Oreochromis niloticus: one gene and its partner. The protein of the gene in region 1 interacts with the protein of each later gene in a pairwise test. Links are inferred from orthologs where the notes say so. Each region holds a gene or a part of one and is shown on either strand. Other genes may lie near its edges. The genes, in order: fcho1 and ptk6b.

What was found.
Region 2: the proteins of fcho1 (region 1) and ptk6b interact in binary tests that used the Homo sapiens proteins (3 or more experiments, as listed by UniProt). The two-hybrid records come from large-scale screens. The link is inferred for Oreochromis niloticus from reciprocal best matches to the Homo sapiens genes FCHO1 and PTK6.

The regions. Positions count from the first base shown.
Region 1 is NC_031981.2:2,372,221-2,380,767, reverse strand, and holds the start of fcho1 (f-BAR domain only protein 1), read left to right. Parts: upstream 1-5,099; 5' UTR 5,100-5,257; intron 5,258-8,547. UniProt on the Homo sapiens protein: Functions in an early step of clathrin-mediated endocytosis. Has both a membrane binding/bending activity and the ability to recruit proteins essential to the formation of functional clathrin-coated pits.
Region 2 is NC_031984.2:955,261-963,093, forward strand, and holds the start of ptk6b (protein-tyrosine kinase 6b), read right to left. Parts: upstream 3,301-7,833; 5' UTR 3,063-3,300; coding exon 2,644-3,062; intron 1-2,643. UniProt on the Homo sapiens protein: Non-receptor tyrosine-protein kinase implicated in the regulation of a variety of signaling pathways that control the differentiation and maintenance of normal epithelia, as well as tumor growth.

The DNA of each region.
Region 1 (8,547 bases):
CACTCTTCTTACTCTGCTGCTGTAACTGGAATTTACAGTAATTTATTAAAGTTACTGTAAAATTAATTCACAGCAAATTCAATGTAAATGAAATTGAAACAATGTATTTGAATTTGTAACATATTACTTTATTTCTCTGTATTTTCATTTATAGAATGTTTATTGTGTTTTCATGTACACTGTTGCAGGATTAACACAGTTTAAAATGTACACCTTTACCTGTAAAACACAGAGAAAGAAACCTACAACAAGCCTGTAGCTTTATTTATTTTTATTTATTTGTAAGTGGAACATACAGCATCCTTCTTAACAGATAAGACATTTTAATAATTTGAGCCTTGTGTGGCTGTTTTGACGGACCCTATCATGCATGTGGTATTTTTCCATCATGTCATGGTTCAGTTAGAGGAAAAGTGCTCATTAGCACGTTCCTGTCAACCCAATAATAAGAAGAAGATCTGGTTGAAGTGGCCGAGCCGACCAAACAGTCGGGTCAACGCACAGGAAAATATTTCTCACTCATATACTGTGAAATGAGATTAAACCGGCTGATCTTAACATAAGAACAAAACAACAACAACCCAGTGACAGGAAGAAGTGCAAGTTGAGTTCATTTTAGAAAGTAGAGTAAGCACGCCCCCTTGTGTCTGCAACTTTCAGTGCCGCTTTGGAGTAATTGCCAAAATGTTGAACTCATGTAGAAACCAGCGTAATAATAGTTGGATGGTTAAAAGGTTTCCAGTCTTAGAGATATCTTCTCTTAAAGCTTATTTCAGTGTGCAGTGAGTTTTTAATTTAGAAATGTAGCCCTCCTGCAAGACATCGAAAACAATAATGTGATAGCTTTAAGAACTGAGTAAAAAAATGTATAATTTATCTGGATGGACAGCAAATTAATGACTTACACTGCTGGCAGAGATTAGAAATGAGTATGACAGAGGGACAGCCTGGGTTGAGTGGGGAAAGTGGACATATTAGACAAAGGATGCTGAAGGCTGCTAGGGAGGAGGAAAAGAGGAAGACTAATGGCTGTAGTGAAGGAGGACGTGGAGAATCCTGCTGTGACAGAAGAGGATGGTAGGGATGGGGTGAGATGGAGGGAGAGGATCTGCTTCCTTGTCTCATCCAAAAAAATAAGCACAGAAAAAATAATACATACAGTAGGTAAAGTATCCATGAATAGGTGGATGTTCTTGAAAGCAACGGAAGAAAAATGATCATTTAATCTAAGAGCCGTTTTGAGTTTTTTTTACTGACAGATGTCGCTTCCTCTTCACAGACATGAGCAGCCATCTCTCTGAAACACCTCTCTACAGGCCAACAAAGCCCACAGAGAGACACAATCCCAACCCAGAGGGACGGCAAGCCAAAGGCAATGATATCACTGAGACGTGGCACAAGGCACTTATTACCACAGATGGATCGATAGCACTCTGGGTCTCCTGGGGAGTTTGGAGGACCACCGAGGGGGAAAGAACGCTCGTTCTGTCTGCGTGTGCTTTTTCAGCAGTGGTCTCCATCCTCGGTCTCGGCAGCTTTAATTGCCTGCCTGTTCAAGCAGGAGTTAAGCTGATTTGAAAGTGCCCGCTGAGAGGCAGGAGCAGGGAGACGCACAGGAGGAGAGGTGATGCAGAGCCTGTGGGCATACGGTGGACCTCGACCTAGATAATATTTACTCTTGCCATCTCCCAATAGAAACGAGAAATAATACAACAACAGGCGTGTCCTGCCAACAATTTGTGTCTGTTTTAGTTCAATTCCTGTTAAACTCCATTTCAAGCAGACCAAATTAGGCAGACAGCAAAAAGAAAAATGAGGTGACGAAACTCCCTTTTGTGCCATCTGAAATCGTTCCAGCGCCTTTAAAAATATCTTTAAAGAGTACTGATGTTGCGAGTGAGAACATGTTCACAAAGAGCCTTTAGAGGGAGACAAATGAGAGCACATCAGCCGGTGTCAGAAGCGACAGTCGAGCGGGATAAGAATAGACACAGCAACAGGTGGCAGGGATTGATGATACGTAATTAAATTCAACAGCTCGTTTCATTTTATTTGTGAGATTTTGCCGGGGATTAAAGGCTCTGATAATTATCCCCTGTTTCATTTGTGTTTGCAGATGGAAGAGGAGGAAATGCCAGTCACACTGCTTGCAAAAAGAGCGATCACACAGCTTCTGTGCCAGCATCCTGCAGATCCTCTTTCTCTCAACACACGCGTGAAAAATGCCCGACGTGATGTACATTTTGTTTATTATGTTTCACGTTAAGACATCTTAAAATATCTTCTTCCGTGACTTTGTGGTTCGCTGTAGCCTCGTGCAAACTGTAAAGGTGGAAGTGATCTAATCTAACCATCTCACAGGAAATAGCACTAACTCTAGCACTAAAGCTGAGCTGCACTTCAGTGCTTTTGACATGATGTTCTCCTGCACCCGGTGTGGATTGCAATATTGCACCGCTTATCGTTGAATCGAGCATCAACGTCTCCAGCAGAGAAACCCTCACCGCTCGTGTCTTTGATGTATAACAGCACCAGAAAGGGCAAGTGAAGGTGCACAGCAGTGAGTGGCAGCAGCTTTGCATCAACCAAAGCATCGCCACACTTTTATGCATTTCATACATCGCGGAGAAATAAGGGCTGCTGTTCCCTGATGCATCTCTCAGCAGGTCTGGACACACCTGTGTATTAAAATAACTCCTGCTCTTCCTGCTTGGCTCATTCTTGCTTGCAGTCGGCTTAATTTGAAAAATGTTTCTCCTGCTGCACAAACATTACAGACCCCATGTGAGGCTCCCCATGCTGAGTTTGGGCCTGCGTTTTTGCAGTTCACATTTATGTGTATATATGTATATATTTTTTTTTAATTGCAGAAGTGGGCCATGTTGAAATTAGACACAACTACACCCTCATACCATTTTTAACCCTGACAATTGTATATTGAATGTTTATATAATAAAGTTGTGTCCTTATCTTTTGAAAAAATCAGCAGTCTACTTCTCTTTTAACCCTCTCTATCAGCTTGATGTGTATTTTACAGGCCTCACTGAGGAACTGATGGAGAAGACTTGTTTTACCTTCTCGCAGTCAGTCAGCCTGAAACCATCACCTGCTGAAAGCCTTCTGTCAGTGTCTCCACCATCTGATTTTCATTAGGAGGTTGGCATGAGGGTTAATATATTTCTGCCACCTGCCCCGCTGAAAAAATATTTTGATTGCTGCACTTACACATGCATTCAGGCCTGAAATGTCTTAAAATTAATCTTTCAAGGTTAATTCTTCATTTCATGATCTACTGACTTGTAAACCTTTAAATCACTGCTTTTTTAAACACTTTTTAAAGTTAGAGCAGAGAATGCTTATTAGAAAAAAATATATATTTTCTTTTAAACAGAGACATCAACAGAGACATTTAAACACAGACATCATTAACTGTGCTACAGCTAAGATTGACTCTGATGGTGACATGAGATGATAAATGAATGAAGCCTTGAGCCAGTCCTGATTTCTTTACATTTTGCCAGGAAAATGGAAATAGGTGCATTGATTTGAAATATAGTGGAAATACATGCATGCATCCATGGAAGTAGAGTAAGGCAAAAACAGTCTGTATGATTCAGTGTTTGGTATATGTAGTGTTCAGGAACAGTTTTCTAGGCTTCTTGAAGGACATTCAAAGCTCTTCTTTGGGCGTTTGCTGACTTTTGTTCTGTTCTCTGATCAAGATGATCCACATTGATTCAATAATGTTGAGGTCTGGGCTCTGGGGAGGCCAATCTATGACTGTAAAACTGCATTGGCAGTGTATTTGGGTCATTGTCATGCTGAAAAATTAAACTGTTGCCAGTCAGATGCTTTCCAGATGGTGGAGCAAAATCTTACAATACTCTTCGGCATTCATAATTACATACATTTTAACGCTTTAATGCAAGCGCTCCAGCACCACTGGCTGAAATGCAGCACCAAACCACGGCCACCACCATGTTATACAGACAGCTGCAGACACTCACTCTTGTACCCTGGGCCAGATTATCCAGTGGGTATTCTGGGCACATGCATGGATGTACCTGATGTCTCTGGTAGATTAAAGTAGTTTCTATTTTTCCTCCCCCTTCTTTCCCCCTGCACTGCTGAGGGTAGTCTCTCCCAAAGTCAGGTAGCTAGTGAATATGGTACTTCAAAAACAACGGAAATAGACATGTTTAAGGCCCAACTCTTATGAAAATTCACATTTGTTTAACCAGTTTGGGAATGTAACATTGCAGTTAACTTGAAAGTTCTTTAGATATTCAATAAGAATACGTGCGTTAATTTGGAGGTTACCTCCCAGTGGATTTATGACTTAAAATGTTGGTTTGATCTCAATAAAGGAGCCATGGTGAAAGAATTAAACCCAGAGAAAATTTCTGTTTTACAATTATTATTATTATTATTATTATTATTTAATTTCTAAGTGGACACATGCCAAAAGTGCTTTTCCCGAGAAAAGCTCTACTTCATTATATGTGCATTTGGCTTTATTCACTGGGCATGAGGTACTGGTGTGTGTGAAATGTTTGCAGTTTTGTCTTGTTATACAATATTTGAAATGTAAAAAAACAATCAAAAAACTACATTTTCAGAAATATTTGTGGGTGTTTTCTTGTTTGTTTGTTTCTTTGTACTACTTAAACACTAAAGTGGCCCTCCAATGAGACGACAGTGCCGCAGGGGCCCACAGCTCATTTAAGTTTGAGGCCCCTGGTTTAAATTAACAGCTGCAACATCTAATGTGGAAACAGAAAATGTGTCTGAGTGGTCATATTTACCGTTTCCAAATTTAAAAGTTTCAAAAGGCGACGCTGTAGGAGAATGAAGAATAAAGACAGAAACGATCATCTTTTAAAGGCTTCAGAAGTTGTTCGTTGGCTGAACTTTGCCGACCTGTTGTTGATTTTGTTGTACAAACGCATAAAGGCTAAAGGTTCGTTTTAAATTGCATATTCTCGATTTTGTGGAGAAGTTATCCAATGGGCTGCCGGTGTACACTTTTAGACCCGCCTTCTTGTGGTTGCTATGCCTACTCCGCGTTCCTCTCTGATTGAAGGGAGGAGTAGCCAATCAGCGCTGAGCTGGGCGGGAGTTTGCGCTCACACTGGAAACTGCCTGGTGAATTTCTACTACTAACATAGAACCGCTCGGGGTACGCTCAAGTGTCGAAGCCGCTGAAAGCCCGGGGATGGAAAATGTGCGATAAGCTTTGTCTGAAAACTCCGTGCAGGTAATACATTCTTCATTTTCCTTCTGCCTTCCTTTGTGACATTCACTGTAGGCAGAAATAGCCTAGAAAGACTGCGCTAGTGCTACCGCTATTAAAAATATCGGGCACTAGTAGACACGCTTATTTGACATCTGAAGCGAGGGAAATCCAGCTAACGCTGAAGGAGAAACTTGGGTGAGACAAGTACGTGGGTATAAAATATAAGCTATGGCCAGAACCTGAACTTTACCTTAATGTTACTGCAGAGGCACTTGCATTTTGTTTTTTGGTCCTGCTAACGTAAACATGTTTAATAGCCTGGGTCACACTGAGAGGTTATTTCTGCTCTGTGATGCTACTTTGCAGTCATTTGGGGGACTTGAGTGAATTTATTGCCACAGGGTTGTGTCATTGGGAGGTGAACTGCTCGAAGATGGGGTTTCCTGCATGCTGAAGCAGGTTGTCTTTCGTTGTGATGATCGTTACTAGACAAGTTTATGCAATCATGGAAACCTTTGACTTATAGGCCGGTGTCGATACTGGTGTTTAAGAGTTTAAAATACTGTATGCTCGTACAGGTATATCTGTGATAACCTGAAAGCAGCTGATAATATCAGCTGTGGTATGTGCGTGACCAGTGAGGATGCCCACAAGGTGGATCAGAACCAGTCCTGGGTTAACTGCTGGACATCACAGATCTCACACCCACTGTGGGGCTTCACTGACTTGACTGTAAATGTATTGTCCTAGATATCCTTTGTCAGTTCTTAGAAGTGTAGCAGGCTTCACCGAGTGACTTGAAGACATTCACCGAGTGACTTCTTCTAATACTTCCAAGCAATAGGTTTATCATTTAATAAATGGACATATTCTCTGGGTTGTGGGCTACATTTCAGTTTGCATGCCTTTTCTGTACCTTTAAAGACACTAAACCGAGAGTTGAAACACGATATCAATAGAACATGGAAATCAGCTGATACCAGCCCCGTTGACTCATATTGGTTATCTGCAAATATGATAGCAAGAGCCACTGGCAGTTCTCTGGAACAATTGGGCAAATAAAAAACAAAAATATTAGACCAATAAAACAAAAATCAGCATCAGCCGGTGGCCAAATGACTGCTCTAGCGTCTTAAACGTTTGTGAAATTCTGGGCCAACACAATGAGTGAAACACTCAACTTAACTGAACACTCAACTCAAGTGTTCAGTTAAGACTGAAAAAGACATATTGGCAGTTTCATAATGTCCTGATTGTCGGTAAACAAGCAAACCTACATGTAAATCAGATCCACCCCCTCTCTCCACGTTCTCTCTGTCACTCTGTTGACTGCTGTCAAATAAAGGTAGATTAAGTAGTGTTAGCCTAATCTTGAATCCACTTGAAAAGGTGAAAGACGTGAAAAATCTTCAGGTGTAAGTAAAAGCTAATTTAATTTTGTTGCATCACTTTTGAGGTGCAAATCAACCACTGTCTGGTTGCACCAAAGAAACCATTGTGTGGAAATCCCCTTTTGACTGCTGATAGACATTCTCGCCATGACATTATGTTAGTTTGCAAACATGTATAGCGTGAGCCGCAGTGTTTGCAACCTCAGACTGTAGCACAGCTGTCTTTCTCTGCGTGTCTTTGAAACCAAGTGGCAGGAGTTGAGAGTTGAAAGCTGCCGGGATCTTTTGATATGAGAGAGGTAAACAACACTCTCCCTTGTGCCTTGACTACAAGAAGGTTCTGCTTCCTCCTGACTGTGAGTCAGGATGAGTGGGATGCAGAGAAAATACTGAAAGGAGGTATTTTACTATCATTAAATAAAGTATAATGCAGCAGCGTCGGGAGGAATGGATTTCTATTCTCAACTCTTTTGTTTACAGACGTCATTAGAACGGATCGCATTTGATCGCTCGCTGTTCATTCACTCACTGAGCTGCGTGTTTGTTCACACCCCCGATCTCTGCCTAAAAATCTGATTACACATGGACCAAAAGTTAGATCTCGATGTAGAAGGACATGTATACTGGTTTCAACATAAATGACGATGCGGTCTAAGTTTGTCATTTTTATTAGGCCGTTTGATGTTGTGCGTTTATTTTGTATTTTGGTTATAGACATTTATAAGGGCGTGTGTTTGCATTGGAGTTTTCTTCCTGGGAGTCTTAGTCTATATTCGGTATGATATCTAGATTCATGTGCATTATGTTCGGTCAAACTGAAGCCATCATCATAGGTTGAGTCTTAAATCAGCTAATTTGGCATTCGCTGAGTAGTTGCTTGTGAAGATGCTGATGTTTAGCTGATTATGTGGCGAAGAGCTTATACCACGGCAGTCGCAAAGAATCTCTGCTCTTCCCACAGTATTCAACAGAATTTAATCAAACTTGTACGCACCGATCACTTAATGAGTCTTCACTCGTACTGTATTCAAGGTCAAGGTCATACTTGTCATTTTAGGTGGCATTTTTCCAATTTTAACCAGAATTGCTGCTCATCCTTGAGTATTGTGTGATTTTTACCGAACCCTGCAGACAGTAATCACCTAATGGATCTTCAGCCCAATTGGACTCAAGGTCGAGGGCACGTTTGTGGCTTTTATGGGCAGCAACCTGTGAATTGTTAGAAAGATGAGTTTATTTATATATATATATATATTTTTTTTTTTAAAGAAGAAAAAAAAAGCTTTTAATGGAATTCAGTGTTTCACATAGACTTGGATTCTGTTTATCAGAGACAGATGGGCAAAAATGTTTCAATGAGTCCAAGTTACCCAGCGTAAAAGCCTCTGTGCGTGCGTGTGCGTGCGTGTGTGTGCGTGTGTGTGCGAAACACTGCATCTTTCAAGACAAAAGCACACAAACCTACAGATATTATTACGTGCCTGGTAAGGCTTTGCATTATCTCTGGAGCAGCTGAAGACAGAAAGTCTGGCTGTCTGAGTGCTGGACAGGTGCTGTGCAAGAGATATGGATAAATATTGTACGGTGAGACGTTGCACAGTTCTGCCAGTGTCCTGTTTTCCACGTATAAAATATTTGACTTTTCGTTATTTGGATTTGGTTTTAAGTCTGGGATTCACACGAACCATCCCAGCTCGTCTGCCTGGCTCTGTCTCCTTCACTGATCGTCACTGAACAGTGAAGAAGTTGGCAACCAGAGTTCTTCTCATCATTGCCAACTTACCAGCTGTGTTGCTAGATTTAGTCCTTTCACACTTATTTTATTTGTTTATTTATTTTTGTTGTTGTTTGTTTTGTCTAAATATTACGTAGTGCTGCTAAGCAAAGCACTGAACACTGACCACTGGCTATAAAAATGTA
Region 2 (7,833 bases), on another chromosome or scaffold:
TGACCTCACGGCTCTAAGCTTTGGCTGTGAAACATTATTTAATCTGAGAGCCGTGTGACAGTTTCAGGTTTTAAAGGTCGCACATCTTTGCTTTGTGCCCTTGCAGGATTTAGTGATGGTAAAGTCAGTACTGAGAGTTTATTGGGAGAGCAGAGAAGCTCTATAATTAAACGGAGCAGCTGGTGACATACGGGAATAGCCACGCTTTGCACACTTCCCATTCTGCTGAAGCAATAAACTGTGAGTGAGAACGGCAAAACGAGAAGTGGTGAGCTGACCGTCGGTGTGTGCGTCCCAGTTTGCATCACAGCTGAAACACAAACACGGGCTGGTGTGATGTAAAGCTGTGACATTTCTCATGGTGCTCACAGCGTACGGCTCAGTCAGGATCAATTAAAGCTGCCACTGTTGGACAACCACAAAAATAAACGAGCAGCACAAAGTGTGACGTTATAAAGACGAGCAGCTCGCTGGCGTTTTATCACACTGTAAATAGAAGACGGATGTAACTTGTTTATACTTTCACATTTTGAAGCCTCAGTCCATTTCCTGAGGGGAACATGTTTGGATGAGCGGGTGGAGCGCTAAGTTATCAGCTGATGCTATCTGGGTCAGCACAGACTCTATGGGTGCATCACTCAGACACCTGCTGATCCATAACATCCAATCAAAATACTAGAATTTCACTCAGCAAACTTGGAGCTCCACCTTCTTGGATGCTCTGTTAGTACAGTAACCTCACAGCAGCCATAATACTGGTCACATGATGTCATTAATAACAGAGGTCTGACTAAAAGCCTAGCAGACAGCTAGCAGCTACAGCCGCCTGTGTCACCACCACCTGTCAGTCAATGAGGCCACGCCCCAATAATGCAAACTCGAAGAAACAAAATATCTCTAGGGACCAACAAGTTTGTGCATCAGGCTGCAAACATGTTTATTTCGGCTGCAAAGTTTTAACATGAGAGACTCGTTGCTGGAGCCCCTGCTGGACGTTACAGGAACTGCAGCTTTTGAAGCTTCAGTTTTTTTTGTTTGTGTTTTTTAACAGGTCAAAAAGATGATTAACAGCATCCAAATATTCATATCAAACGTTAAAAAGCTGAGCGTTAATAACATTTAACCTTCATAATGTGAACTGTTCATTTTTTCACCTAAAGCAGAGCTGTCAAACTCCAGTCCTCCAGCGCTGCTGTCCTGAAACTTTTCCATGTATCCCTGCTGCAGCACACCTGGATACAATAAGTAGGTCATTAGCAAGACTCTATAGAACCTGACTGCATGCTGAGGTGACAACCCCCAACCCTACTCAAGTAAATTTAAATACAAGTGTTTGGAAAAAAAGTACTTTTATTGCACCATGTTCAGCCACTCATGAGCTGCTGTAACATGAATCAAATGGCTGAACTGCCACCTCAGCATGCACTCAGGTTCTATAGAGTCTTGCTAATGACCTACTTATTGTATCCAGGTGTGCTGCAGCAGGGATACATGGAAAAGTTTGGAGTTTGACACCCGTGACCTAAAGCGTCTGATTAGCGGGGCTGCTTTTAACGCTCCGTGCTGACTGCCTGCATCTTTTCACAGAAGTGACAGGAAAGCAGAACTTACAGAAACTTCCACTTTTAGGCAGAGCTGTAAACAGGACGCACATGCCCACTTTACTGCAGTAGAAAACAGCCGTTTGACTCCCAAAGTGCCTTTTTACAGCACTCTGCTTCACTGCTCACCTCAGTTTTACTAATGCGATAAAGGATAAATGTGTGATAAGGTGATAAAGGTTAAAGGAAGCGTTTACAGTTCCTGGCAGGTAGGTGGACATTGTGGACTCTGGCTGATAATAAAGGTGTTACACATCCTGATTTATGCATCTGCAGCTGGAGGCACAGCAGCCTCGTGAACATAATAAAAAACGAGATTCTGAATGTGGGCTCACACACACACACACACACACACACACACACACACACACACACACACACACGTGTGTGCAGGTGAAGCAGCGTCTTTGTTCCACTGAACTGTCAGCTGTCTGCTCAGATAAAATGAGTTTCTGCCTTTGAGCTGGAAATCTTCTAGCTTTCCTGTCAACACCTTTACCTGTTCTGTGACATATTAATCAGAAATTACTGTGACACTTTTCTGAAGTATACACTTAATGTACTCGTACATTCTTGAAAAACCACTCTGCTGCTTCATTCTTGTGCTGCGTCACATTTTCAGTGTAAACATTTAGAAGCTTTAGTGTCTGCCTGTTGTACTGACTTTATGGTGTGAATCATATGATGCTGTGTAAATAAAGCTGCCCCAGTGTGGAGGTCATTAAATCCCCTGCAGCTGCTGCATTAAATCAAATCATGGATGATTATACTGCCACACTTTGTGCTGAAGCTTTGCTCCTGTCGGGTTTGAGTGTAAACTCTGTGTTGGACAGGAGAAGCTCAGAGATGAGACACCTGAGCTGTCTACTCTCGGGGCTGGATCAGGTGTGTTACCCCTGAAACAATCCTGGAAATGTCCTGCTCTACTCCTGCGACACAGACACGCCACGTGCTTCTGTCTAACGCGGACACCGGGATGGCCCTCGGAGCTCCCAGAGGCGAGAGCTGCTCTCTGGGAGCCGTCAGAGGAAGCTGCACTCACGGCTGCACGTTGATGGACTCTGCCCTCGCCAGGTAGTTGTTGGGGACGATGCCCTGCGCCACGACGTGCCCGTTGCGGTCGATCTTCCGCGCCGTCCACCAGTCTCCGCTGCGGCTGACCACCCTGAACAGGTCTCCCTCCTGGAAGGACAGCTCCTCCTGGTGCCGGGACTCGAAGGGCCACATGGCCGTGTAGATGCAGCTGCCCTCGGAGGCGGTCTCCTTCGGGGGCTTCGGAGGCGGCGTCGGGGCCTGGGGCTGCTCCCCGTCGCTGTCGCTGCAGGTGCCTCTGCGTCCTCCTCCTCCATCCTCTTCTTCACCTCCTGCTCCTCCCGCTGGCTGAGGAGCCTTCTTCTCCGTGAGGATCCTCTCCCACAGTGACTGCAGGCAGGGGCACGCTCTGCGCAGACACTCACCCATGGGTGACCATGAACGGCTCCGCGCGGGCTGTGCGTCACCGCAGCTCGGCTCAGTCAGCCCGCCACACCTGTCCGACAGGTGCAGAGCAGGGAGCGCGGAGAATGTCGGGAATGCCTGAGAGGGGAACGGCGCAGTGAAACTGTACGGGCCGAGCCCACGGAGGGACTTCCTTTAGTCACAGAAACCACGGGAGCCCCGCCCCCAGAGGGTGTCATCAATCTGCGCGCGCTCACACACACACACACACACATCGGGGTTTTACAGGTGCGCAGGTGTCTTGCCAAGGTACCCCGCACGCTCAGCTCGCGGGTTACAGCAGGACGTGGTGACAGCATTTCATGTCCACATGATTCACTTACCTGATTTTTTCTAAAATGTGCCAAATATGTACAACAAAGTAATTAAATGATGTGTTTAAGTGTTTGCAATTATTTAAACATAAATGAAATGCGTTTCAAATATGATTTTTTTTATTTTACACACCTTTTCGGTGACACACGCTCAATTTCATTGTGTCCCACAGTGCCCTTATTAACTTCCTCCAGACGTATATGTCATAAAATTATATATATCAATTTGATAGACTATACTAAGCTTTATTTTATTATGCAATTGAATCTGATAAAACTTATTTACTTTTTTCTTCATAATGTACTTGTCCCAGTAGTAATTTTCCACCCTGCTAGAATGTGCTTTATTACCTTAATAAGCCCATAAAAGCCATTTACAGGAAGTGGCATCATTTGTTTTTGGTGGGAATTGAACTGTGGAAAATGAGGTAAACTTCAACTGTCACTTTACTTTTTTCATCTTAAACATTTTACACCTGTATGGGTCAACCTCAAGTTTCCACCCTGTTAAGGTCAAATGAGGAAAATGTTAATTAAGTAGAATATTTTTAAAAAACATGTTGGATTGAGTTAATAAAGGTGTGTTCATTTATTGACGGTTAGCTGGCTAAATGTTGATCAGCTAAAGAGCTACAGCTAGATTAGCTAAACAAATTCCACCCTGTTAGGTTCATAGACTTAACAGGGTGGAATTTGGGGGGGAACTATCACGTGAAAATGATAAAAAGAGAGCAATAATTATTATTGTTATCATTAATTAATAACAAAGAGAGGAAAGATAGTCAGAACTGAGGGGATCGAACAACCAGAAGGCAACATTGCAGACATAGAGGACAGATACAAGTGACTAGGGGCGGATCTAGAAGGGTGGCATGGGGTGGCAAGTGCCACCCTAAAATGATCCCTTGCCACCCCAAGTGCCACCCCAGTTTTGCATATGACAGTGTTGTTTATTAAAATAAGATAGCATTAACAGTTTGAGCGTAGTTACAGTCAACAGTGAATATAAATGCTAAAACTGAATATATTGCATAGTGTTCCCCCCTCCACCATTAACAAATGGTTCAGCCCATAGCAGGACCGGCTTTTTTCTTGTTATCAGCAGCAAGCGATGCTCATGATTGTGCCAGAGCACATTTTGAACAACACCATGGGAATTTTGGATTTTGCACAGGTGGTTGGATGTTACACTCTGGAAATGGAAGCAAGGTGAGTGTTATTAACCCTCTGTGGTCCACGGACACGCTGCACCTCCAAATCACATGACTGATGTAAGCTGACACAGCAACAAGCTGCAGCCACGCTGAGTCTCTATTTCAGCCCACATTGAAAGTTCGGACTTCCAAGTTTTTACATTTTAATTACAGGCCAGTAAATCCAGAGTTATGATAATATATATAAGCCACGCTTTTTTCTAAATACTGTCGTCACGTTTTTGTGTGTGTGTTTTAAGCGTTTTCTAAGGTCAGCGCGAAAACAGTAAAGAAAGGAAAAGAAGCCACCTCTTTGCTATCAGTGGAAAAATGCACCATGTCGACCAATTTAAAAAAAAAGTCAACATGTGGGATTTTGTTGTTTAGGAAGAGGGGAGAGTTTTGGGAGTGACGGTAACGGCAGCGAGACAGAGCGAGCGAGTGAGAGAGGGAGAGAGAGAGAGGGAGTTTTTAGATGTGGGAGATTTGTGACGTTTAGTGTGGAGTGTATACTTAGTGTGTTGTGTTGTCTTGTGTAGCTGTTCTGTTGTGTAGTCGTTTTGTTGTGTGTGTCAGTGAGGGCACTAATGAATGTCACTAAGGCACATTTGTAAACACTGTCACTAAGTAGAAAACCAGCGGAGTGATACACCTGCTGTTGTCAGGCCTGCAGGTTTGTCCCTGTGCTGCTCTCCTCTGTCTTTTGGTGGAAAAACTTTTTTTACTGGCACACATCATTTGTGAGGCAAAATGTACAATTTATATTTGCATTTCAAGTTATATAAATTTACTCAACATGTCTGTGGGTTTTTTTACAGTAAAAATACTACTAGGATTTTAAGTTCTTTGTGTGATTTCAGATCAGTAATAGTACTATTAATAGTAATAGTAGTACTAATGCAGTATGTCAGTGACAAAAACAACTAAATTCAGTTGAGCTGAAAAGATACCAAACAAGGCAAGGGGGGGGGGGGGAATAAAATGAAACAATCTGAGGGTGAAATACAAACGTAAACTCAAAAGGAGTCAAAAATGGCCGCTTGTATTTCAGACCTCAGAGATCCAACAAATCATGAAAAATTAGGTTTAAATTTTTGTTCATGACAGTGCAGATTTCTGACATTTTGTGTAATTTAAGCTGTAACAATGTGACTGTTTTCTAACCAAAAACAGTGAAACTTAAGTTAGACTTGTGTTTGTAAATGAACTGCTCCATGTTGTGTAGCTTTCTGGATTTTATACTTATTGGGCTACATATTTATTTATTATACAGGCTATACAGTACATAAGATCAAAACTCACATGTTTTATGTAACCAAAGTGTGTAATTATGTGGGCTACAGACAATAATTAAGTTATAGACTATATTTATATGAAAAACGTGTATACTTACTGCATTTGAATCATTTTAACCATATGTAACCACCTGCATATGTGTTTGGAAAAAAAGCCTTGATTTTGCCACCCCATTTGATTTCTTTGCCACCCTCATGCCACCCCAAGAAAATTTGTCTAGATCCGCCCCTGCAAGTACCCACAGGGAATCATGAGGAATACCTCAGGCAGCAGAAACCCAAGACAGAGGAGGAAGAGGAGGAACCATCATGGAAGGACAGGCCCCTGCACGGTATGTACCCCCGGCAGATAGAGGAGGTGGCTGATATCCAGAAATCCTACCAGTGGCTGGACAAAGTTGGACTGAAAGACAGCACAGAGGCACTAATCATGGCAGCACAAGAACAAGCTCTGAGCACAAGATCCATAGAGGCTGGGGTCTATCACACCAGGCAAGACCCCAGGTGCAGGATAGACCGCCCGCAGGGGGGAGAGGGGAATTTCTATGTGGTACTATGGTGTGTGTCACAGTGTTTATATTCTGATGTACTTTTTAATGAACAAATATATATTTCCACCCTGTTTGGAAAAATGTTTTTTAAAAATAATTGAATAGAATCATTAAGAAAATGTCATTGTGAAAATGTCTGTGCCAAGTTGAGAAGTCAGGAACATTAAATGCACAAATATGTATATGTTTTTAAAACTACAAGTATTTTACATGCTGTTGGAAAAAAATGGGTTAAAAATAAATAGTTTTTTGTATAACACAGACTTATAGTATTTGTAATTAAATTACCTGTTACAGTTTCAAGAATAAAACATTATATTAAGAAAAGGGACACACTCTGTCTAAGAAAAAGTGACTATTGATCAATATTTACATGTTTAACTATTTCTGGTCTGGGTGGCCATGTTTAATAAAACTACCTGTAATTACTATTTTATCTATCCTGAGCTTGACCAAAAAGAGAATCAGCCTGGTGTCAGATAATCAGGCGTGGGTGAACTCTCCGAGCAAACGGCTCTGTGCTCGCTTCGTGACGTCACCTGACTGTTAAACAGTTTATTCTGTAAAACACATTTCTTTTTGCACGCTGCTTCTGCTATTTTGACATTTTTCTTTGGTGAAGAGCGCCGAGTCTTTCGTGCTGGGAGGTCTCTGTGTCATCACTATAATCTCAACTACCAGATTCAAGCTCCAAAATGTTGAGATTACTTCAAACCTGCACAGTGCAGGGGGATCTCAACTCTGCGTTTACACCTTGAAGCATCCTGTTGATGTCATATTCTCTTCAGTAAACACAGTGTCTGCTCTAACATCACGTTTCTTATTCCTGCCCACGCTGCCGCCGTCTGTATCAGCTGCACCAGCAGCCCGGTGGTTTCACGTGGTTTCTGCAGTCAGGGGGAATCTACACAGAGCCAAGCTTTGCACCATTCCCCACCTCTCTGTGACTCATGACCACTGATCAGCGGTTATGATCATTAGTGATCTTAAACTGACCTCACGGCCCATTGTTAGTCATTGTGCAAATGTGCTGTTTACAAGTCCAAATGTTTCAGTGGGAGAAACGTTTCGTCACTCATCCCAGTGACTTCTTCAGTCTTGGATGATGATGAAACGTTTCAGTGAAAACGTCCAGATGAACAGAATCAGCTTCCCGGGATCTGGATTCTCTGCTGAGGTGAAGGATCATTTGGAGGGACCGTGGCTGCGCTCGAGCTGGTCTTGGACCTAAAAGGCAGATTTATCTTCACTGCTGCACATTATCTCGCTGGAGATGAGCTGTATGTGTTATATTACAGTGCTGAGTGTGAAACAGATAACTGTTAAAGAAGTGTTTTTGTTTGTTGGCTTACTGTTTTTAAAGTGTTTAGAATTAATATTTT